Linked DNA regions of Drosophila melanogaster. Changing the gene in region 1 together with any one later gene gives a genetic interaction. Each region holds a gene or a part of one and is shown on either strand. Other genes may lie near its edges.

What was found.
Region 2: of sha (region 1) and frtz, changing one enhances a phenotype caused by changing the other (phenotypic enhancement), as found in Drosophila melanogaster (one study listed by BioGRID).
Region 3: of sha (region 1) and in, changing one enhances a phenotype caused by changing the other (phenotypic enhancement), as found in Drosophila melanogaster (one study listed by BioGRID).
Region 4: of sha (region 1) and Vang, changing one enhances a phenotype caused by changing the other (phenotypic enhancement), as found in Drosophila melanogaster (one study listed by BioGRID).

Annotation. Positions count from the first base shown.
Region 1 is NT_033778.4:11,322,498-11,327,321, forward strand, and holds the start of sha (shavenoid), read left to right. Parts: upstream 1-1,816; 5' UTR 1,817-1,913; intron 1,914-1,974; 5' UTR 1,975-2,076; intron 2,077-3,290; exon of another isoform or gene 3,291-3,292; 5' UTR 3,293-3,759; intron 3,760-4,824.
Region 2 is NT_033779.5:1,710,797-1,717,440, forward strand, and holds frtz (fritz), read right to left. Parts: upstream 5,056-6,644; 5' UTR 4,761-5,055; coding exon 4,343-4,760; intron 3,678-4,342; coding exon 3,377-3,677; intron 3,322-3,376; coding exon 2,371-3,321; intron 2,313-2,370; coding exon 1,801-2,312; intron 1,747-1,800; coding exon 1,349-1,746; intron 1,292-1,348; coding exon 1,132-1,291; intron 1,072-1,131; coding exon 956-1,071; 3' UTR 506-955; downstream 1-505. Other genes in the region: mRpL48 (mitochondrial ribosomal protein L48), read left to right, coding at 55-489; Rim2 (replication in mitochondria 2), read right to left, coding at 6,307-6,433. UniProt on the Drosophila melanogaster protein: Probable effector of the planar cell polarity signaling pathway which regulates the septin cytoskeleton in both ciliogenesis and collective cell movements. Functions cell autonomously to regulate wing cell hair polarity and number.
Region 3 is NT_037436.4:20,365,248-20,370,767, reverse strand, and holds in (inturned), read right to left. Parts: upstream 3,571-5,520; 5' UTR 3,453-3,570; coding exon 843-3,452; 3' UTR 509-842; downstream 1-508. Other genes in the region: CG13247 (uncharacterized protein), read right to left, coding at 19-256; Toll-9, read left to right, coding at 4,850-5,144. UniProt on the Drosophila melanogaster protein: Plays a role in the definition of cell polarity via the planar cell polarity (PCP) cascade. Acts downstream of fuz and accumulates asymmetrically in wing cells to regulate planar polarity in the wing. Probably acts by regulating ciliogenesis.
Region 4 is NT_033778.4:9,101,451-9,107,320, reverse strand, and holds Vang (Van gogh), read right to left. Parts: upstream 4,084-5,870; 5' UTR 3,746-4,083; coding exon 3,505-3,745; intron 3,438-3,504; coding exon 1,933-3,437; coding exon of another isoform or gene 1,852-1,932; 3' UTR 525-1,851; downstream 1-524. Other genes in the region: CG8777 (uncharacterized protein), read right to left, coding at 4,202-4,364, 4,424-4,611, 4,671-4,845, 4,906-5,337, 5,396-5,870.

The DNA.
Region 1 (4,824 bases):
GAATTGTGGATGGGGTTAGTGGATAGTGAATAGTGGATGGAGGTGCTGTAGCACTAACAGTATAGACCAGTTCCGAGTTGGCAAAGCGCCGTTTGATGCTCTAATTTATACAGCATACTGATGAGTTGACCGCTGTTCTGGAATTGTTCTCCTACGGGTTTGGGTTCGGTTCGTTTCGATTCGTTTCGGATTGCTTTGGATTGCCTGGCTCTGGTCACGAAAAAAAGCTGCAGATCAGAGCACACCTGACCAGACACGGGAACCAGCAAACACACACGGTATCAGTAACTCAACTCACCCAGAAATGGAAATATTCGTAGCGGTTAGCGTTTAATTGAAATGCATTTGGCTTGTTGTCTGTCAATCAACCGTTGCGATGGATGGATAGGCTCCGGAACTCGGCCGCCCAAGGCCCGAAGGGTAATGGAGCTATTGGATCTTGGCCAGGATGCACACGCAACCCCATGGCGCCGTCATACGCCACTTTGCCAAGTCATCAAAACGGCAAAATCACATCCATAACCAACCGCACGCAATGGGGATTCTTCGTAATGAAGATTCGCCTCCTGCTTGGGGAGTTTAATTATTCAATCTGGCCAACGAAAGTAATAACAATTATCAGTGTGTTTGGCGAAATTACCTCCGATTGACACCTGATTTTTAATGCTAGTTAAAGAGTTCTGGACAGAAGAATGGCTTGTTTCTAAGTAATCGCCAGATAGCTAGACTTTTTAATTACTCATCTTAACTTGGGTCGACAATTATTTCTGCAATTGTCATAAAACTTTAGAACCAATTAAAAGTGACGCAGCGTAAACGGTAGCCATATAGATTATGGTTTTACACCTGATTTTAAGTAGTCATTAAGAGTTGCAGAGAAATAAGGCACACCGTTCCGTATTTATAAATAATTTAGGTGCGTGACGTGTGTTTAATTAGATCTGGTTAAGGATAGAAAACACTTGTCATACAACTTTTAGAAGATAGTTGACAAATAGTTGATTGTGCAGAATTATGAGTATTTGTGCTCAAGTTCTTTTGGAAGCAGTTAAAACATTACGGCCAACTGAAACCTACATTCCCAATTGGCCATATTCAAATAGTAATTTAAATGAATGCAGAGATGTTCAAAAAGTAGAGAGCTCCAATAATTATCAAACCTGGACATCTGGACAGACACTCGCATCCTCCATTAACCGTTATGGACTGCGGACTCGAAGTGGACCGACCAAGTTCAATGAGCGCATTTTCATGTTTATTGCAGAAGCAATTGGTAATAAGTGCGCGACCGCAGACGTGGAAAAAAGAACACATTTCTCAATCGTTATTTATGAATACAATTGCAAGTTTGTTTAGCTCGGCCGGAGGCACCACACACTCCACTCCGCCACCAGCGTATCAATAACAAGCCGAGATGAGGCGGAATGCCGGGACATCGAGGACAAGGGGGGTCCACGTACCACTGTAATAAATATTAGTGAATTCTTTTAACTTATATTGCACTTTAGATTAACTTTATATTAAACAGCTAGCCAATAAGATAGGTTGAAAGGGTATACCATTAGGCGTTTGAGTACTAACACTAAACTAACATAACTGCTTAGGTCGTTCAATAACTTAATACTCCCATCACGTATCCCCTCGACACTCCGAACTTTTCTCCCTGTGTACGCATCCCAGACGTGAACTGGTTTCCCAGTTTTCCAGCAGCAGCAGATCAGACGACTCACCGCAGCCGGCGGCCAACCAGCGACGTGTGCCCAAAGTTTGCATAAGTTGGACCACGACATGGCATGGACATGGACGAGGACTTGGATGTGGATGTGGATCCGGACTGGAGCGAAGACCTGGACCTGGACCTGGACCTGGATCGGGCTTCTTTTTACAGTTAAAGATTTATGGATCATGCATGGGTAAATGGCGAACAGATACGCGGTCAATTGTGTGTAGGTAACGCAACGCAATTTATTCCAGCCCGAAAGATAAGAAAAGCCCGGAGGAGCAGGAGACCCACTGATCCAGAGATTCGGAGCTCCGAATCCGATTGACACAGAAATACAAATTCGAACAGTGAGCGTCATAAAATGCAGATAGACACAGTCATAAAAGTATAAATAAACGGTCGAAGGCCCATTCTTGAGAACTGTATTTGGACGATAATGTTGAGTAGTGGCTGCAAGAAGGCGGGACGCTGGGTATCATTAGATGGAGATCTACGAAACTAAAACTTTCTAAATGACGGGCGGCAACTTTAGCGGCAAAAAACCAAAACTGTAAATGCAGCCAAAGCAAATAGTTGCAGCGGCGTCGCCAACTAAAGTATAATTATTGGCCAGACGAGATGGGAATGAAGACGAAGACTGTAGACTGCAGACTGTAGACTGCGGACTGTAGCCTGCGTATTGAAGACTGCCAAGCTGCATACTGAAGACTGGCATAGCTTTGCAGTCTCCAACTGGGAAACTGCACGTACGCAGCGCCGGCAAAAGGAGATGCCAATATTTCTATAAATTTCTATATATATTTTTTTTCGTTTTTTTATTTAATTTTTTGTCGTTTTGTGTGCCACTGCTTAACTGTTTTTAATTGAAACCCGTTTGCGGTAATTGTCTTTTTGGCTTGTTGCCCCGACCGCCTTACTATATATGTTATAACTTGCTTATGTCAAACAGATTGGCCGTGTAATTTGAGGCAGCCCCATAACTCCACCTGCCGTGGAACTTTTCGAAAGTTTTCACTTGTTCTGCTGCACGGATCTCCGGATCCATGGTTTTTTTCGATCTTAAGATCGTGAATCTGCAGATCTTGAGATTCCATGAAGTGCAGCTGCACTCGAGCGCAACTAAAGCGAGTAAATTGTCATAAATTGAGTTGAACCAATGACAAATGACGTTTTTTTTTTCTTGTTCCGCAGCTTTTATCAAACTGGAGCGTGAATCTTGGAACGGTACTGGGGGATTCCTGTCATTTCTACCGCCGGCCACACGGCGTATGCGCGATGCAGAACCTGTCCCAGTCTTTGTTAATTAGTCTACAGTTAGAGATCTTCGCCTTCACACATCACAACACGCAGGCATTGCCAGCAGTTGGCTGTTCGGCTGTTTGGTTGTACAATTTGTCAAAACACAAACGGACCGAACTTATACTTTCAAGATATAAGAGCGTGGAGCAGAAAAGAAAACTCGTTTAAGAGCGCACCGCCTCTCTCCGGAACTTTTCTTCAGGCTTCAGTCTACAGTCTTCAGTGTTCGGATTCGGCTTTGGTTTCTTTGAGCTGCGATTGCTTTGGCAGTCGCACCAACGACGGCGACCTTGATAGACGTCTTAGCGGTTCGAAAGACATCGAGAAAAATCCCACAAACCCTCTGTGCAACCTTCATTCGCGAAGAAAAGCCGCCGCTGCCTTCGCTTTCTTTGCGGCCAAAACAGAGGAAAACAAAAGAAACCGAAGCGAATTTTCTAAAAACAATAGCAATAACAGTTAGCGCGACGCTGGTTGTTTATGTGTTATTTAGTGTGTGGCACGAGATGAAGATGTTTCAAAAATGCTGAAAAACGTGCAGAAAATGCTGCCGAAGAAATGTGTGAAAATGCCAGCAGATGCAAAGTGAAGTTAAGCAAGTTAACCAAGTTAAAACCGAAAAAGAAACCGCTTAAGTTTATGTGCGAAAAGTAATCCTGGTTGTACCTTGTCGGGAAAATTAACGGCCAAAGGTGTTAATTTATTCACCTAAACTGCAACCGAGCTCTGCAATGTGAGTACATGACATGAAACTAAAATTGGAATATCGCGCGACCAGATCTAGATTTTGTTTTTGTGCTGGCAAAAAGGGCTTGCTTTGCCCCTTGGCTCCGGCTAATCAGACCGATGCCAATTGAGTTTAGGTCACTGGGCATGGGCACTCTCCCAAATTGAAAATCTTTTTTTATTCGGGAGAAAGTAATTTGGGCTAGAAAATAGCTCAAAACGCCAAAGCAAAACACCGGGCATTGCACCGCCGTAATTCGGTCTTAACAACCGGCCGAAACCGTTGGACAGCCGGCCATGTCCAAGTTGGCCCTAAGTACATATTAAAGCACATTAAGGCGGCGAGCAAATGATGCGCTCCTCTGGCCACCACAATGGACTGTGGAACCGGGAGCCGGGAGCCGGGAGCCGCTAACACAAAATAATAATAATAAAAATAACAGCGGAATAAATTTGAAATTTGTTATTGCGCTGGAATAGCTGGGATGATGCTCCAGAGTTTCCAGCTAATCGGCTGCCTTCATGCTGCTCCGCTGCTGCTAGCGTGTTCTAAGTGTTAAAAGTACGCCGAGTGTGACGTCGACTGCACTCGGAAGTGTAGCGGCAGCTCCGGCCAGACAATGGGCCCATCATCTAGTGCCCGGAGTTTGGAGTTGGAGTTGCAGCCAGCGCCAACTCCAGCTCCAACTCCATGGTCGGTGCATGTTCATGTGAATTGCAATGGCCAGGTTAGAATGCGTTGTGGTAATTTCTACACCCTTGCAGAGCACATAGCTTTCTGCTGGGTATGACCAACTTGTACCCAGTTCGAATATAGTATTCTGAGTATAGTATAGTAATAGTATTCTTTTCTAAGAATACCCATTTAAAGACTAGGAAAGCGCTTAAATGACTTGGATGATTTTCACAAATTGAAAGTTATTTTTATCCGGCATTAGAAAGCAAGCCATTGAAAGTTTAACTGTTTCAATGGGCTAATAATGAACCCTTTTAAAATGCTGTTTTTAACTTAACTGCGCTTAAACCAGCAATCGTAAACAATAAACTGGCCATTAACTAACCATTAGCTGCCTGAT
Region 2 (6,644 bases), on another chromosome or scaffold:
AGACTAGATGAGCAATTATTTTGGTGGTCAGTAACCATTGTTCTCCGTTTGCAGTCCCTCAAGCCGAAATTCCCGCAGTACGAGAGCCTGAATGTGCAGATCAAGGGCTACGACTACCCGCAGCTGGAGAGCTACCAGAGGTTTCTGCACGGATTGGCCGAGTACCTGGACTTGGACGTCTCCGACTGCTACGCCCTCCCTCCGCAAAAGACCACGGTGCAGCGACTGCGGCCCAACTCCACGGTCATCGAATCGGAGTACAAGCTGACCACCTACGAGCGCAACCTGCAGCTGAACAATGTGGATGCGCCAGTCTATCCGCAGTTCTTGCGCCTGGCCCAGGCGGCGCTGCCCGAGGGTGTGAGCTTGCAGGTGCAGGAGTACACCGACGACTGCGAGGAGCGGCGCTACGTGCCCGACAAGGAGCTGCTCGACCTGAAGGACGAGCTGGAGCGCATGGGCGGACCCACCACCACCAGGAAGAAGTAGGCGGCGCCTCCGATTTGGCAAACATTTAATGCTTAGCTTTAATGAGTAACCTGTGTAAAGAGTATAGAGAACCTATGAGTAAAACTTTCCTATTTAAAGCTTTGCACTAACTGGGACGGCAATAGTTTAGCCGCCGTTTACAGAAGTTAATATTCTAATACAATTTCACGTGTCTCTTTTATTTTTGATCTGTCCTTTAGCTTGGTTCAACAGCGACTGACTGCCGCGCTCTCTGCAGAGTGGCGAGTCGATTAGTCGATAAGTTTCTCGATAATATTTGTATGTTAAGGATGGGTGTATGAGTGTATAAGCTTATGACTAGATTGGCTATGTATAATTAGGTATGTATGACTAAGAGTAAAGGAAGAGGGTAGAAGGAGCAGCCTACTACAATAGTTACAAACGATTGGAAGACGCAGCGCTTAACCGTTGTGTGGTGTACGCCTGGGAATTGCACTATGAATTATTAGACCACGCCGAAGTGGACCACCTTGATGGACGACGAGGAGGAGGAGGAGTTGCCGCCCTTGCTGCTGCTCTTGGGTTCTTCCTCGCGTCGTCGGATGGGCGGCTTAGTCACATCTGCGAAGAAATGACACGGTCAATGGGGCAAGGTTATTGGTGAACTCAACAAATACCCACTGGTCGTAATGGGGTTGAAATCCTTTAGATACTCGTCGTTCGGATGACAGAGCGGCAGGCTGTCTGCGAGCTCCTTTTTAGGATTTGTCAGATGTCGCGCAGCGGGCCTGGAGTAACCATTTCTCTTGGGTGGCATTGGCTTTTCCTTGCGAGGAATTTCCTGTTCGAGTAAGAGCATTAGTAAACTGTCACATCATCGATTGATTTGTTAACTCACTGGCACCACCGCCACTTGAATTGTATCCGAGAACTTGACTTTGTTCTTTTCGGCCGTTTGTGACTTTGCGGGCGTGGCGGGTGCTTCTCCGTTGGTGGGTGCTGGATTCGCCGGGTTGGACAATATGGATGCGGTGGGTTTCTTTTGCAGCAGGCGCTTCTGGTAGTCCTCGCTGGTGAGCGATGGCAGCATGGCGGGAATATTGCCAGAGACAAGCGGATGTTGATAAAACTTGGGCTGATAGGACCCTGTCGGCGGAGGCGAAGCTGGCATCGTGCTGAACTGACCCAGCTGGGCGCTCTGATCTGGAATGTTTGAAGGCGGAAGACGAGGAAGTGGACTACTAGCCATAGGCAGACCCACCGTCTGATCCGGCACGTCCTGGGACCACAAATTGCCTGAAATAATGGATAAATTATTTAAGTTATGAAGGGAATTTTCTTCACACGAACCATTTGGATGCAGACTCTTTGCGGGCGCCTGCTGCAGACTACTGTTGGACTTCAGGGTTAGACTCGCCAGCGAAGATGTTGGCGGCGCTATTGAAACCTTCGGCAAGGGCGGCCTCAGTTCCGGTTTCGGTATGTTGATCTTGATCATCTCAGCGTTGAATACCTTCGACTTGAACGAGGGCAGCGGTGGCACATAGTTCTTCAGGACCTGCTGGCTTTGTGGCTGACTTGCGCCTAGTCCGGTTTCGGGGGCAGTTCCTGCTCCCTGACCGCGCAACATGTCCGAGCAGGTGGACAGCGAACAGGCCGACTCCGAGCGCAGGTCACAGGTCAGGCTGAGATTGCCGTTGGCGCGATCTTCCTCGTGGATTATGGCAGCTGCCTGACTGAAGGCCACCTGGGCGAACTCACTCAGGCTTGAGATGCACTTGGTTAGGTTGTACAGGTCCATGAAGATGTCATAGTCGGCCACATCCTGGGCGATTTCGAAGGCCTCAGCGAAGAGGTTTTTGCTGCAAGCAACGAAAGGATTGAGCATAAAAGTGGCATGTTCACACGAGCTCAACTCACCGCAGCAGATAGAAGCAGAAGCGGCGCTTCAGATCGTACACCTGATCGCTGAACTCGTCCTTCGTCTCCTCGGAAAGCGTGTGGGCGAATGTCTTCAACGCTCTGGCCATCAGCTCGATGCGAGGTCGTCGCTGGTCACCGCCGAAGAACACATAGTTGGCTATCTTGTGCAGCGTAATCAGGCACATGGCTCCGTAGGTCTCCCAGTTGAGGGCGGCCAGGACATTGACCGCTCTGTCCGGCTGCTGCAGCCGCAGATACTTGTCCGCAATGACGTCCGCAGTGAGTCCGGAATTGTGGATGTCGCCGCGCATTCCGGTGCCGCCAAAGATGCGCATGCAGGCCAAAGGTCCCTGTTCGTACACCAGCAGCAGCAGGCAATCCGTCTGGGCGTAGGTGTGCTTAAAAGTGGACAAATCTGGCTTTCGGCTGAAGGCGACACTCAGCAGCGTTGGCTGGGCCACGAAGTAGTGCGACAGATCCAGCAAGCTGGACGGCGTCACATTCTCGCTAACCAGCTGATGGCCAATGGTGGCCAGCGCCAGGTCGAAGCACTGCAGCACCGATCGCTCGTTGGCCACGCAAAGCATGGCGGAGTCGCAGTGCCAGGCGCACTGATTGGGCACGATCTCAATCTGGTTGGCGTACTTTGTCGACTGCTGGACCAGGTCGTGCAGGCAGATATTGCGATCGACGCTGCCCAGGAAGAGCTTCTCCTGGTCGGGGCTGAAGGCAAAGGAGCAGATCTGGGCGCCCATTGGAATGGAGGTAATGGCGGTGCGCTGCATCTTGCCGGCGGCCAGTTCGTAGGAGCAGATTTCTGCGCTTATGTCGCCCTTGCGGGAAACCTTCTGCTCCAGGGTGATGATCTGGCTCTCGCTGCTTCGCAGGAAGTCCACGCACAGCGGATCGTTCTCCGACCAGCAATAGGCAATCGATTCCAGCTGCAAGCTGAGCAAAGCGATTAGACTGGGCCATGGAGTGGGAGTTGTACTGTGCAACTTACCCCTTGATCTTGAACACATGTATGTTGGCACGATCTTGGTCCCTTATCGTTGGCCTCCAGGGATACACCTCGTTCTGCGAGGACTGCGTCCAAACCACGAACAGATCGAAGCTGGCGTTAACTGTGAGGTGGCGGGATAGTTTGCGCTCTGTGGCGCCCGGTATGATCACGTGGAAGATGCGCGGATCCATATTGGCGATCTTCTCCGGTCCCTGGGAGCGAGCATTAGGCCTCTGCAGATGCACCACCGTCAGCTGGTTGGTATTGTAGGCCAAGACGATGTGGGAACGGGTGAAAAAAGCTGGCGAGACAACGGATGCGGGCGCACGACGAGAAAAGAGACACAAGCGACAAAGCTGAATGAGTGGCTCGAACAAAACATGGAAAGCCGGAGGATGGTGGATGGGGGAAAGGGGTTGGGGGTTCGCATATTTACAGGCAACAAAACAAGCCAGCAGATTAATTAAAAATTACAATAATTGCATGCCCTGCATGTGTGCGTGCGGCTGTGTTGGTGTGGGAAAGTGCAAATCAAGTCGCACTTGTTGCCAATGCAAATTTCTCCATAACTGCACAAGCAGCACTCCGCGGAGCAAGGCCAAATGCGGACTGCACTCTATCGAATGACTGATACCCTGGATGACAAGCGGCAAACAGCACAAAGAACTAAATGCAGGACAGCTTTTATAGCTGAGAGCTTAGTGAATAATTAAATGGCATGCATGTGTTTCTAGCAAGCTGTCTTGGTAATTCGTTCTAATGATGAGGAACCTTTAATTACGCCTGAAATAGCCATTATGTATTGCGTGATGTTAACGCATATTAACTGATTTTCGAACGCTGCAAGTTGAGATGTCTGCCAGTCGAGCTGCACATGCAGAAATGCAATGCCCAAGCTGATTGATGGATGGCTCTAATGCGATGGAGGGCGGGCTGGAGCGGGTGAAAGGAGAGAATCGCACATACCATCCGTAATGACCTCGGAGGCGAGCTTGCCCACCAGGTACTTCTCGAAGACCATGCGCAGAATGTCGCCCGTGTAGATGTCCACGCAGATGTGGGCGATCAGGCCGTGTGAGAAGAGGAGCAGCACCTGCGCCGCGTCCTGCCACTCGGAGTGGATGATCCTGTGCTGGCGCAGCAGGTCCTCCAGCTTCTTGAGGTTGTCCTTCAAGCGGCCGGTGGACTTGCGACCAGAGTTCTTCAGCACGGCCAGTCCATTGCGACGCTCCGTATAGTCTCGCTTGGCCAGGCAGGCGAGGTCCTGCTGCTCCTGCTCCTTGTCGCGCTGCCTGAGGTAGCGAAAGGCGCCCAGGTCCTGGCTCTTGATCCGCACCACATCCTCGCGCAACGTGGTCCAGAAATGGGTCTCGCTGAGCAGCATATTCAGGCCTCCAGTGCATCGATTTGCATGGCGGAATGATGGGTGTCAACGCGACTCGATCAGCTCGATCTCGATTTGTTGGCGTGTGCCTTTCAAGCTGCTCCAATTGCACTGATTGCTTTGTATCGGGGTTAATTGCGCTGCTCTATGACTGCTCTGCGACTCGTTATCAAGGTTGCTCGCGGAATAGCCAACGAATTAGCACTTTGGCCAGGATTTTTCGCTTTAAACAAACTTTGTTTATGAAAATAAAATAAACTTGTTGCTCGAAACACTGCTTACGTTACTAGAGACGGCACTTTGTTACGTCGCTGAGCGTGGTGGTGGCGTGATATAGATGGACTACAACTGCGATCGCTCACGTGGTGGAGATCTTCGATGGAGCACATAGGTTGTGAACCAGGCTATGCTATGTTTTTAGCACGTACCCGAACCAGGATCTAAATTTTTGAAATTCAGAAAAATAAAATATTTACAATAAGCTACCACTACTTTCGCAGTGTAGTAGCTAGCCAATAAATCACTTTAATTTAGTTGTGCGAAATCGTATTATCTTGGCCAAATCGGCTTATCTCATCTCACTTTTATGGGCGGCAGTCTGGTTAGCCAAGATGAACTATGTTCGACTGCAGACGATTGTTAAGATAAGATAATGTACATATATATTAAATGGGAAACGAGTGGGTTATTTTTAAACAAAATTGTTGTATTTATTGATTTCACCATCAAATCGGATTGCAATCAATTATTCACAGTGGTTTCCTTAGTTCTTTGCTCATTATCAGTGAAATACGTTTTGCGTGGAGGGGGGGGGGATAACTAACTAACTAGCTAACTAATGGACTAAATAAACAGCAAAAATTGTATCAATATAGTTAAAGTAATATAGTAGAGTAATGATAACTAAATCGTATATCGCATTTGAGGAAACTTAACGGAAACTTTTACAGTTTACGAATCGGATCGGTCGGCTTTATATCTATATATATATATATTTAGCGGCATCTACTGGCAACTGCGGCCGATTCAACATTTTGTGCTTACAACTAAGAAAACTACGCCAGCGAACTCACTCTTTAACTATTTACAATGCACTCTGAGCGAATCGAGTCCTATGTACACTATATTATCCAAGTATCAACCACATTTATACACTCAATATATATTGTAACTTTAACTAAATAGCAGCCTTTTCAAATTTTGATAACGTTTCGCCCTGCGGTGGCATACCACATCCTTCTGTGGCATGCAGCAAGTGGGTTTAGGGTGTGGATGGTGCACTTCGATCCTGGTGCGTGTTTCCCATTATTGGTTTTTTCTTTGTTTGCTTCTTTTTTTTTTTCGATTGGTTGGCCAACGTTCAACGTCTAACGTCTTAAGTCTATCGAGTTCGTTTCATATCTGACTTAGAAGCTAGTTAACTAAGAATTTGCGCTCGTTGGTTTGGATCGTTTAAAAACGAGGGATAAAATTACATAAAGTTGCAGCAGTCGCGTCTACATATGCACAGATTGGGTTACTCCTTCTCCAGTCCTTTGAAAGGCATCTAAAAGTCGTAGAACTCGTTCGATTTGTTGTTGAAGCGCCGCGTGAGCACATAGACGACCGCCTCATAGGTGGCCATCATGATCGCCGTGTTGGGAATCTGTCGCACCAGCTGCGTGGCCAAGCCTCTGTGGAAATAGTTGGTAAAGTTTACAATTAGTAGGAGAATTTGCTAAGGTAGAGCTCTCATATATAAAACACCTCGAGTGAGCACGCTCGAGAGTGATAATCAAATTAAGGTAAACAAACAAAAAATATGCGACGCAAAAGAATTTAAATAGATTTCACGAATTCGTGGGTGGCACATTATGATAATTCATTAGCTTATATGTATATGTT
Region 3 (5,520 bases), on another chromosome or scaffold:
AGACCACTGACCACCCACCTGATCCACACACTCCCTTAAGGGTTTTTGTGGTGACAGCCTCGGCAGATGCCTTCACCTCCCCCGCAGTCACAGTGCAAACAGCTTTCTGCACTTCGCTGGGCAGTTTTGGAGCAGCTTCTGTATCCAAGGGATTCCCGGTGACGTTGAACAGTCCACTGCCCGATTCCTCCTCCGTCGCCATCGCCGTGGAGCAGAGAACAAGACACAGCATCCACGTAGCTGTCATCATATCCATCCACCAAGAATCCTCTTCTGTTGAAACACCCAAACACAACTGTCGACGAATCTTGGGAAATTGGCAATTTGGGGAGCACCACCTTGAGCCACTCGTTCACGTGGATTTATTGGTCGGCGTGTCTTTTGACTTCTGGTGCGTGGAACTACTTTTAGAATGGGACCCTCCCACCAAACTCTAAAAATAGTGTACACTTTTGATGGCTTCTCTAGTACGAACTATGAATGAATGAAACACATTCGCACGATGTTTGTGTTCCTCTTGAAATACCTTCATACATACATATTTATTCGCTGCGTTTCAGAGGAAATGTACATATTTTTCAATTTCTTAGAGTTTTGGCAAGCTTGCGCTTTTCGAATTTTGAAAATACAAAATTGCACTTCCCCTAAATCAAATGCTTTCGTAATAGAATTGCTGAAAATGATTAATTATGCATTCTTAAATATAATTTTAAAAAATTGTTTGAATGCCTATATAAAAGTAATTTGTTTAGTTAAAACCACATTTTAAATATTTGTGTTTATATTATAGCAAGAATTCTACGCATAGCCAGTATCTAAGTTGGTAGTATCCTTCCAAGATGTCATCCCATTGAGAAGAAGGACAACCGGAAGGCCATTTCGACTATGTTCTGGGGAACATCGGACCGGTGACACACGTACACTTCCTTGGCTGGCGACTGAAAGAGACGACCAACCACCACGAAGCGACTGCTCGTCGAGGATTGGGATTGCCCGTCCGACTTGGGTTGCGTGCTGACCTCCAGGATCATGCCGTGCTCCTTGACCAGCGACACTGTGTGGCTACTGTGCCCGTTCGAGTTCGTCTGTGCTCTCGAGGATTCCGATAGATGCCTGCGATAGTGCTTGGATTTCTGCAGCACGGCGTGGATTATGTGACACGCCTGACGAATCTCGGAGAGGTAGTTGGAGTTCTCGGAGCTGTCGGTAAATGGCGCAAACAAGGACCCATTGGCTATGTCAATGTAGACGTAGTGCAGAACGGAATTCTTCCAGCCAGCGGATATCTTGACCGGCACCACGTTGTTGATCTCCTTCCACATGGACTCTGTCATTTGGCTCTGACTGTGGCTCTCGGCCCCGAGATTCAGTCCATAGTGAAGTGGATGCTGTACGGCGAAGTTCTCCCAGTCGGAACCGCTGTCTGAGTCCTCGGCAGTACCATGGATGGGGGTCAATCGCCTGCGACAGGACTCGTCCTCACTGGGAGTCAGACTATGTATGGAAGACCCACCCAGGGACGAGCACAGTTGGGCTTCCTCCTCCACCGAAGGACTCAGCACGGTTAGCTTCTGCTTGAGGAAGGACTCCAGTCGGTTGTTCGGCTCCTTCTCCTGATCTCTACTCTCGCTGGCAGTGGCGTCCAGCACCTCGGGTCTCTTATTGGAAACGGACCAGAACATGGCCAGGGATTCAATGCCGCACTGTACTAGGTGGTCCAGCGTCTCTTGAATCTCCTCGATGTAAAAGAGCGATGGACCCACCACCGCATCCGGCGCCATGTCTGGAGCATCGAAGATCTTCAAGATCACGGCCAGACTCAAGTGGTTCTTGGTGCAGATGGTAAGGAAATATCGCCCTGTGGCACTGGGCAACACTATCTCCTCCCACACGTACATCTCGCGAACTTTGATTCCCGGAGCAGCTCCGAGCAACTCGAAGATTCCGCGGCAGCGCAGGAATCCTTCTACACTCACCCTCACTTCCGGTGGCAGCAGGCTGGCCACCAGGAAGCCATCGTAGTACAGCGCACTGCCGTAGATGAAGAACTCGCGATGGGTGGTGAGTGGCTCGTCGTTCCAGTTGCGATAGTCCATGGCCTCCATTTCACTCAGAGCATCAAAGATGCGCAGCTGCGCTTCCTTTGGCAGTGGCAGGCTGCGGGATTGGCCCAGGAGCTCCTCGAAACGAATATGACCATGGCATCTGGCTACGAGCCGGGTTCTCTGGATTTCGCAAAAGTGTCGAAGGAACAGCTTCAGTCTCGAACTATTCCCCGGCTCTCTCTCCTGATTAAAGCTCTCCAGGACCAAGCCCGGCAGAGAGAAGCGTATGTATCCGATTAGCTCATCCGATCGCAGGCTGCACTCCGCCGCACAGCAGAGTCCTCCGGCGTAGGCGAAGAGGACTAGGAACCCATTCAGTTGGCGGTAGTTGACGTGGTATTGCACCTGATCCACCAGCAGCCTTGAACTCAGCGGCTGGGTGTGCAGTTCACTGAGTACGGCGTGCAGGGTGAGGAAACTCCCACGGGCCTTGAATAGGAAGTTGTCGGGGATTTCCGGAAAGTAGTAGAGGGAATCCTGTTGCTGTTCATGCTGATAGCACTCCGGTGGGAGTAGCAGCATAGCAAAGGGCATTCTTATGTCCACGGAACTACCGGGAATACCGAAGTTCCCCTCCGTTATCAACATCTGCTCAAACTTCTCCGTGAACATGGGAAAGTTCTCCACCTTGCACACCTGCTCCTCGCGGACATTTCGATTATACCCCGGATCGGTGGGCGAAACTGCACTGGCCGCACCGCACGACTGGAAGCCTAGGCACACCTGAGTGGGCTCCACGAACTGCTTGAGCAACTCATCCACATTGCTGGCGTACACCTCTATGCCATTCAGGGATCTAAACCAATCTCCCCGCTTGATGCCGTGCTGCAGCGCACTCACATCGTGAACGAACCCATCGACCATCAGGCATTCTGGTTGGTCCGGAAAGGGCAGGACCCGGAAGCCCAGTATGGACTCCACCGCCGTGGATCGTCGTCCGAAACGGAAGCGATCAGCGGCTGTGATCACCAGATCCAGTTTCTTGGGATCGGGGGCAGCCGTCTTGAACTGTGAGAAGCGGAACTCTTGCGGCTCCGTCTGGCTATCCAACCTGCTCGGGCCGTGGGACTGGTTTTGGTTCTGACTCTGATTCTGATTATTGCTGTGCGGCTGGCGACGCGACGACTTCTTTCCCAGGCGCAGCGATCGACGCATGAACTCCACCCGCCGCTCTGCCGAGACGCCAGTCTTCTCACATCGCACATACTCCATGTAGAAGAGACTGCCGTCTGTGGACACGTACTCCTCCCAGTTGGCCAGGTCGCTGCCATCGCTGTACGAGTTGCTCAGCGAGGAGTTCGAACTGGAGAAGGCCTCCGACGGCAGGCTGGCCGGCGATTTGCGCATAGTTTACCGGGGATAGTTAACTGGGCGGATAGTTATTAGTGGCCTACTATTCCAGGTACACACTCAACTATCTGCCGCCGGTTGATACCGCCTCAGCTCAGCTCTGAATGTCGACTGAAAGCCGAGATCCGATCTCAGCACTCAAAACCAGTTTCTAATTGAGCTCTGGCTCCGACCAGCTCAATACCACTCCACTCAAATTCCAGCGGGAAACGATCCACTCCCTTTGTGATCTGGTTCTCTTTCAAGCTGGGGAAACTCAAAACCCACCGTGGGTTAAGACAAGTATAGTTACCATAATACAATAACCAATTTCTTTTCTTTTTATAAGTGTTCGCATTTAACGATTGGACTGCTAACCAGTTGATTTCAGCGTGATATTAAGTTATAAATAATAATCATGGAAAATCCTTATAAAAATAGAGCTCCGTCTGCGATATGCTGACTCTGCACAAAGTCGCATTGAAGATTTGGTGGAACTTAAAGCAAAATTGGTGTGCTATCATAAGGATTGTGTTAATCAGCGGAAGATTAGTAAAATGTTGCTTCCTCAATGGGTATCCGATGATCATTTGTCATAGGAGACTACCGCTGAAGTCCTATCTCCCAATAAATTATTTTACGGCCAATAAACTGTGTATGCATGATATGAAGGGAATTGATATAATTAATTGGGCATTTGTGGACCCGGGTGTTTTAGTGGCCACCTTTTCGTATCGCCGATGGTCTGATAATCTAAGATTTTCCAAGTGATTTTTTTCATATCGGTCTCCGGACTGGACGCCGTAAATCAAAACTTTTCTATCTGCAAACAATCGAGTAGTATAGAAAATTGTGTCTCACTGAACTCACTATGTGCTGGCCAAAAGCGAGCCGTGGCTATATCGGTTGATCCGGAGCACCGATCCCATTGAAGTACGGGCCTAATAGCCGTACTCCGACGTCCAGATAATTATCCGATAAGGAACATGGCGTGGGCGTGAAGCGGGACGCCCAGTGCCACCGAAAAAGCGATACGCTGATAGTCCCGGGCCATTCAAGGGAAGATATTGCCAAAATTGATAAGCCGTATCATGGCAGAATTAGCCGCACATGTGTACCGCAGCTACCTATTATTTCTGCTGACCATCGGAGCAAGCTGAGTCCTCCAGCCAGTCCATTGCGCGAATCCAAGGCGTGTGCTTCGCCCAGCCGCAAATAAAGTGATTTGCGGGAAATGTCGGCCGCGGTTAACTATCACAAAATGTGGCTTAGATTTCGGAATACCCAGTGAAACTGAATGAGTGGCTAAAAATTGTATAGAACGCGATTATCTGTGTGATTGTGAAATCAAACAGCTGTCAAATCTTATTTATAATCCCCCATTACAAGCACTATAGGTGCGCAATTCAGTGAATATGTGTCCAAAATATATATGGGATGTGATCGTATTAGTATGCCTGTTCCTTGGAAACGTAAGGGAAGCATACACCGAGTTTTCGATCCAGGATGGCTTGATAATAGAACCAGATTCAGCCACAACATCCAGCGAAGAGGCCGAAGAGGTCAGCAAGGAGAGAACGGACCTCAAATCCCTCATGTTGAAGTACGAATCGGATGATGGGAACAGTTGTCTGCTGGATCTGATCAAGGACGAGGTGATATGGTGGCAGTTTCCCAACGGAACCCTCAGGGACAGCACAAAGAAATACGGTAAACCTATCCAATAAAGTCCAATAAAAATCCCTGCCCAAGTCTCAGTTTGATTGGGCATTGTTAACAGCTCTCGAAACTATATACATATACTTTCACGCTTCCGGCAACGCGGATCGACTGCTTATAGAAGGTCTTTGATGTTAGCCTAATCCCACCAGAATCGGTAACATTATTATGGAACCCCTTATCAGTGAAAGCTCTGCATTACTACACCCAGAGAAATTTAAAAAAATACCGATATCGGTTGTGTTCAGCGTACTCAGTGGCATCAATCATGCTCATTAGAAGAAACCTTCTTGATTTCGAGACGAAAACGATCTCAATGTTGATATTTTTTGGCGGAAGCAGTATCGGGTTTAAAATTGTGGAAGAG
Region 4 (5,870 bases), 2.2 Mb from region 1:
GTTCTATACCAACAGCACTGACGACGCACAAGCCAAAAAACAACAGCAGCGCAAGCTGTTGCCTATTATTGTTTAAAGGATATCTGATATGTTAGTATTCCACTCACATTTGGCTAGTATTTATGAAATAATGTAAATAAAAGCGAACGCACCATCCACCACCAGGCACCAAATCATGGGTTTCCTCAGTTTGATATTTAAGTAGCTTATGAAATGAGACCATCGTGCTCACTCCACTTGAATTAATTGAGCTTATTACTCTTATCATAGAAATTCGAGAGGCATTCGAGTCTTTGTATCACAAAGAACTTGAAACTTGATTGATTGCGATTAAATCTACTCATACATTATACTTCAGTGCGATTTGGTAAACCTGCTGGGCTCAATAATCAATATAGGAACTGTTTGTTAATCCCGAGCTGATAAGGCAACTTTCAGACATTCAAAAGACCCCCAAGAATGAATTAATTACGTGCGCATTTCCACGATTTGCGTCACCTTCGAGATAGAACAATTCGTTTAAAGCTGTTAAAGAAGTGGGTTTGATTTATTTACGCATTTTGTTTTTTATGCTAGTTACAATTACAACAGTTACAGTTTGAGAGTAAATGTATGTATAAATGGTATGTATGCTTAGGTTGGTTTTCCAATTGCTTTAAGTAATTGCTAGATAATTGCAATATAAAAGAGCTTCGACAGAAGACATTTAGCTAGAAAACGAAAATGAAATCAAACCTCAAGCAAACGTTTCTAAGTAGTTTTGTAAATAGGTATATATCATATATGTATGTATATATAGATTGGGTTCACTGGAACGTACACATGTTCGAATACGAATTCGGGTCCTTATCACTATAATTTTGTCTCTAAAAATACACGAGTTTTTGTATATATGTGGTTGCTATGCACAGGCTAGTACATACACCTGCTAGTGGCTGTTGGCAATTTGTGTGTATAAAATGCATATTCAGGCAGTCTTCGCTTATATTATGTATTTGTCATCAGTTGCATTCGAGTTATAGTTGTTTCGTCGTTTCTCAACTTTGTGGCAGAAGAGTTAGGACCATTCGGTTTCGGCTTAAAATGTGCGTATGTAAAATCTTATTAAGTCGCGTCAAAAGTGGCCAATGCACTTTCGACGCAAGTCCGAGTCCTAGCTAAAATTCCATGGGCTTGCCTTGGCTCACTCCATTCCTTCTTAAGGCTAGCGATCGGGCTCACGCCTCACAGATATCGGGTAAAATTTTAGATATTCCGCGAAGAGTAAGCCCAACTTTACACTAAACATATTTACTAAAATAAAAATCGTGTATAAAAGAGCTGCATTTAAGAGTTGATATCTGAAGATCGCGGTTCGGCAAGCCAAACCATCATTCTTATAATTAATACTTTGGGAACTTGTAAGTCATGTTTGCTTATCAAAGGGTGTGATATGTTCGCGTCGGTTTAGGATGATACACTGGGCTTTTGAGCATTGTTTCTTGATATTCGGGTCATAAGTTCAAGTTTAGCACTGATAAGTACGTTGCCTTCTCATCTAATAATCATTTGTTACAAGATCAAAATTTAGCTGCTGAGGCCTGCCTAGACATTTTGTTCTCACAACAACTTTTCCTTTCTAAACTTCCATGTTTTTTTCTTTTTTTTTTTAAATTCAGGGTTTTGATCGATTTAAAAATGCTCCTCTTGTTCATTGATAAGTAATTTTGATTGCTTGGTTTGATTGGTTGTGGTGTTTCAGGCATATATAAAAATGAATTCAATTACCCTGATGGCAGTTCTCACAAGAACGTCATCGATTTGGCTGAAGTAAAGAAAATATGTGAATATGTGAATTAGTAGCTGGGAAAATCAGACAAACACATGCAAGTAGGACGATTGCGTCTGGTTGCTATGAGTGGGAGTGTTGATTGGAGGGGCGTTGTGGTGGTGTCATACGGATGTTTCGGAGTTCAACTTAAGAACAAATTTGTTGCTTTTGGGATCCACAACCTCCTCGGCCAGGTTGAAGTGCGGCAGCTTGTGTACGGTTACCATTAGGGAGACATCGTTCTGAATTAACTGGAACGTGCATTCGTTGCCAATTGGCCGAGAGACGATCTCGTCGCAGATCAGGGACCAAGACTGCACCCAGCGTCGCTCCTTCTCGCTCTGCATCACCGGAGACTCGGTCAAGTAGGGTTCCAAGAAGGCGCGGGGCGACAGATCATGCTTTAGGCAGTGCGCCAGATGTTTCAGTATGCTCTCAAAGGTATGCCGCGGCTGCTGACGCGTAACCCGTAAGTATTTTTGCAGCGCCCTGGCCATCGAGGGAAAAACCGCCGAGGCAGCCTCCTGCGGATCGAGCGGCAGTGCCGGAGCCGGTTCGTTATGAATGCGTTTGATGTGGGTGAAGGCCTCCTCGGCGGCGGTTATAAGACGGGCACGCCGTTTCTTCACACGACGTTCGTACTCGTGCTCTTCGTAAAAGCGCTCGTTATGCGAGGAGTCTCGGCGCCGCGCGTTGGCTGCTAGAACTGCTCGACTCTGGCTTTGCTGTTGCGAATTGCTCACCCCATCCACTTCGTAGTACTTGAAACTGTTTGATATCTTGTTTCGCTGCGATTTGGAGACCGATATTGGGATGCGCTCCAGGTAAGGGTTAAATATGGGGAAATCCACGTAGTAGTGCTGTAGCACCCACACAGCCGCCCGTTGGATGCTCAGCTGACCCAACATGTAGGAGCGCGAAACGCCGTCCGGGGAGCGAATGATCTTGATGTAGTAGCAAGGCTGCTGGTGTCGCAGCTCTAGTAACACCACGGCCACATAGTGAATAAATAGAAGAGTGTCCACAAAATTGGTGGCATAGCCTACCAGTGACTTGTAGTCCACGGCATCGCCGCCCGTCTCCACAACGATTTTGGCCCCGTTTGTGACCTGCACGATGTAGAAGAGCCAGTAAGCAAACGTGCAGATGGTGACGAGAAGGAGGACGAGAGCGCGATATAGGAATATCCGTGGCATGGTGGCCGATGTACGTCGCATGAACACTGCCCACAGGCCGATGGCCAGAAGCAGCAGCCGGGCGGCCAGCGATACCAGTTGGCCCTTGCACTGCTCACTGCAGGCCAGCAGCTGGGTGCGAACAGTTTGCGTTATTTCCGGATGATCGAAGGCCGACGGAAAGAAGCCCACATACGGCATCACCACCATTGCCACTGGCGAAAAAAACGCTCCGCATCCCAGCAGGAAGTAGAAGCTCGACTCCACGTATCGGCGGCACGCAAAGCTGAAGCCCTTGTCGCTCTCACGATGCCACATGTTGTTTATGTCCTCCATTGAGATGCTTTGCTCCGAGGTATTCCCCGTGACGGCGGTAGTATTCTCGCCCCAGTTCTCGTCCTGCGGAAGGATTTGCACCTCGATGACTTCCTGGCCATCGTGGCTGCCGTCTCCTGGTGCCCAAATAATAAATGGGTCAATTGGTTTCCTTCCACCGATAGAGCCATTAAACAAACTCACCTGTCATATTAACGCTGGTCTGGTACGGTGCCATGTCGCCACGTTGAAATCCCTTGGCCGACTTCGAGGAGTGTGTGCTGCGGTGGGAATGTCTGGAGCGGTCCCGCTCCCTGTGATAGCCGTTGTTGACACTGCCTCCTCCGCCACCACCTCCGCCGCCACCCCCTCCGCCGTTGTTGTTGTGATTCCGCGAGCGTCTGGAGCGTCCACTGTGTTCCGACTTGACGGATTCGTTTTCCATTGCAATTGGGCTAGCGCGCGAGAGCTATGCCCGATTCCGAATCTCCTGCTCGCGAAGAGACGTGCCCCAAATCACCTTGCAACCTGGCCGTGCAGCTATTTTAGTGTCTAACTGTAATTGCGGCGGCAGCAGGTTTTTCATACGCAGGTATGCAGGGCGCAGTGCATAGCCTATAGGCGATTTAGAGCTTTATCTGCGGCTAATTCTGCGGCACATTGTCACTATTCGTGTCTTGCATGGCTATTTCATACGCTATTTAACTATTTCTCGCACATTTTTCGCTTTTTATTCACTTTTTCGTGGACTTGGCTTCACCCCCGACGCAGTGTGACCACCGCAACACAATCAGCAGCACGGTCACATTGCATTTAGTGTTTTCAAACACTATCAGTTTGGCAATTCAACCGCCAAACTGATAGTTTAAATTTTAAAGTAAGTTTATTTTGTTGGACAATATCATGAATTTGCAATAATAGCGGAAAGTAATTGTCTGGCTCTCTGGTCAGTTGGGCTTAGCAGTATGGCGCGCTGCAACAACTTCATAGAACAGGTTTTGTCTACTGCACTAACCGCCTGACTGGCATATATAGTGGTCAGTGCCTCTTCGCTGGCCAAGATGCTAAATATAAACAAATTCAGTCTATCATAATACAATGTATATAAATTCCCAAGTCTTACCTATTTTGTTGCTTAGTGTGTCCCAGAGTAAGAGTTATTCGACCCATATTTGAAGTAGCCAGTCGATAGGATTGGTCATCAGAGAAATAATCAAGAAGAAACTTTAGCACGACACTTCGCAGACTTCGGGAATTGGGAAACATTCGTATGCGAGTCTGTAGATAGCACAACGCTCTTCGGGCACCCTCCTAAACAAAATCATAGTATTACTTTTGTAGAACCACAACATTCACCACTTTTAACGAACATTTATCAGGATGTAGTGAGCCGTTAAATAGGATATGTCGGCACAATACTCCTTCTTAAAGGCGTACGCATTCAGCTCCGTCAGTATCGTATGGATCAACGCATTATCTCTATGAAGTATACCTAGGGCAAGGGCTGAAAACAACGCCTGAATGGGGACCTCCTTCAACAAGACACTTTTGGTGATTATAACGTTAGAAATGTTGAATCAACAAAACAAATATTGCGCTACCAACCACTGATAGAGTAGGGTTTTGGTGTCCGCTTCGCCCTGAAAGTCGTAAATCATGGATGCCATAGCCACGAGGATGGTAGCTGCTTTGTCATCGCCATGATCAACCACGTTGCCGAGAACGGAGTTGTAAATAGAGTAGGATTCCTGCAACTGACCGGCTAGATAATATGCCTGGGCCAGGCCAATGATCGGCTTAAATGTGGCATGTGCAACCGTGTTTAGGGCGTGTGCCGCCTGCTCCGGCTGGTCTATTTTTAAGTACAGGTATCCCAGATTCGTGTAGAGCTTGTCACGATCCGCTCCAGGTTCGCACAACTTACACGCCCGAGTGAAGGCTTCGATTGCTTGGCGATACAGGTTTTTCCGGGCGTAGAGAAATCCCTGGAACGACAGCGATGCTGGTGTCGCATCCGTCTCCTCGTTTTGCACATACCTTAAATGTATTGCAAGTCTTTAGTTGGTTTTAGATAGGGCATTACTATAATACTTACCAATTGATGGCATCCAGCGCAAGCACATCAGCGTACATGTGTTCGATGGCATGCTTTATGCGCGGCTTGTCGAAAGATCCAGGAGTCGACAGCATTTCGCACACCCAATGCGCAAATCCAAGCGCCGCCTCCGGATGGTAATCGAACTGCTGGCAGTGACGAAACAGATCAAAGGCTTCCTCGCGATCGCCAATCAACTCCGCAACCATTGCTTGTCCAATCCAAGCGTTGGCGTACACGGGACTTGATTGCTGGGCTCTCGTAAAGGCCTCGTTGGCCAATCGGACTTCATTCAGTTTAATATAGAGAACTCCGAGATTGGTCCACGCTGTGTAGCACTTTTTTTCCAGCACTACAGCCTGAATAAAACAGTGCTGTGCCAATGGCAAGTTCTCATTTTCGGAGTTCATATTGATAACTCCGAGAAGATTCCAATTTTGCCATCTGTTGCTACACTCCTTAATGGCCATTTTGC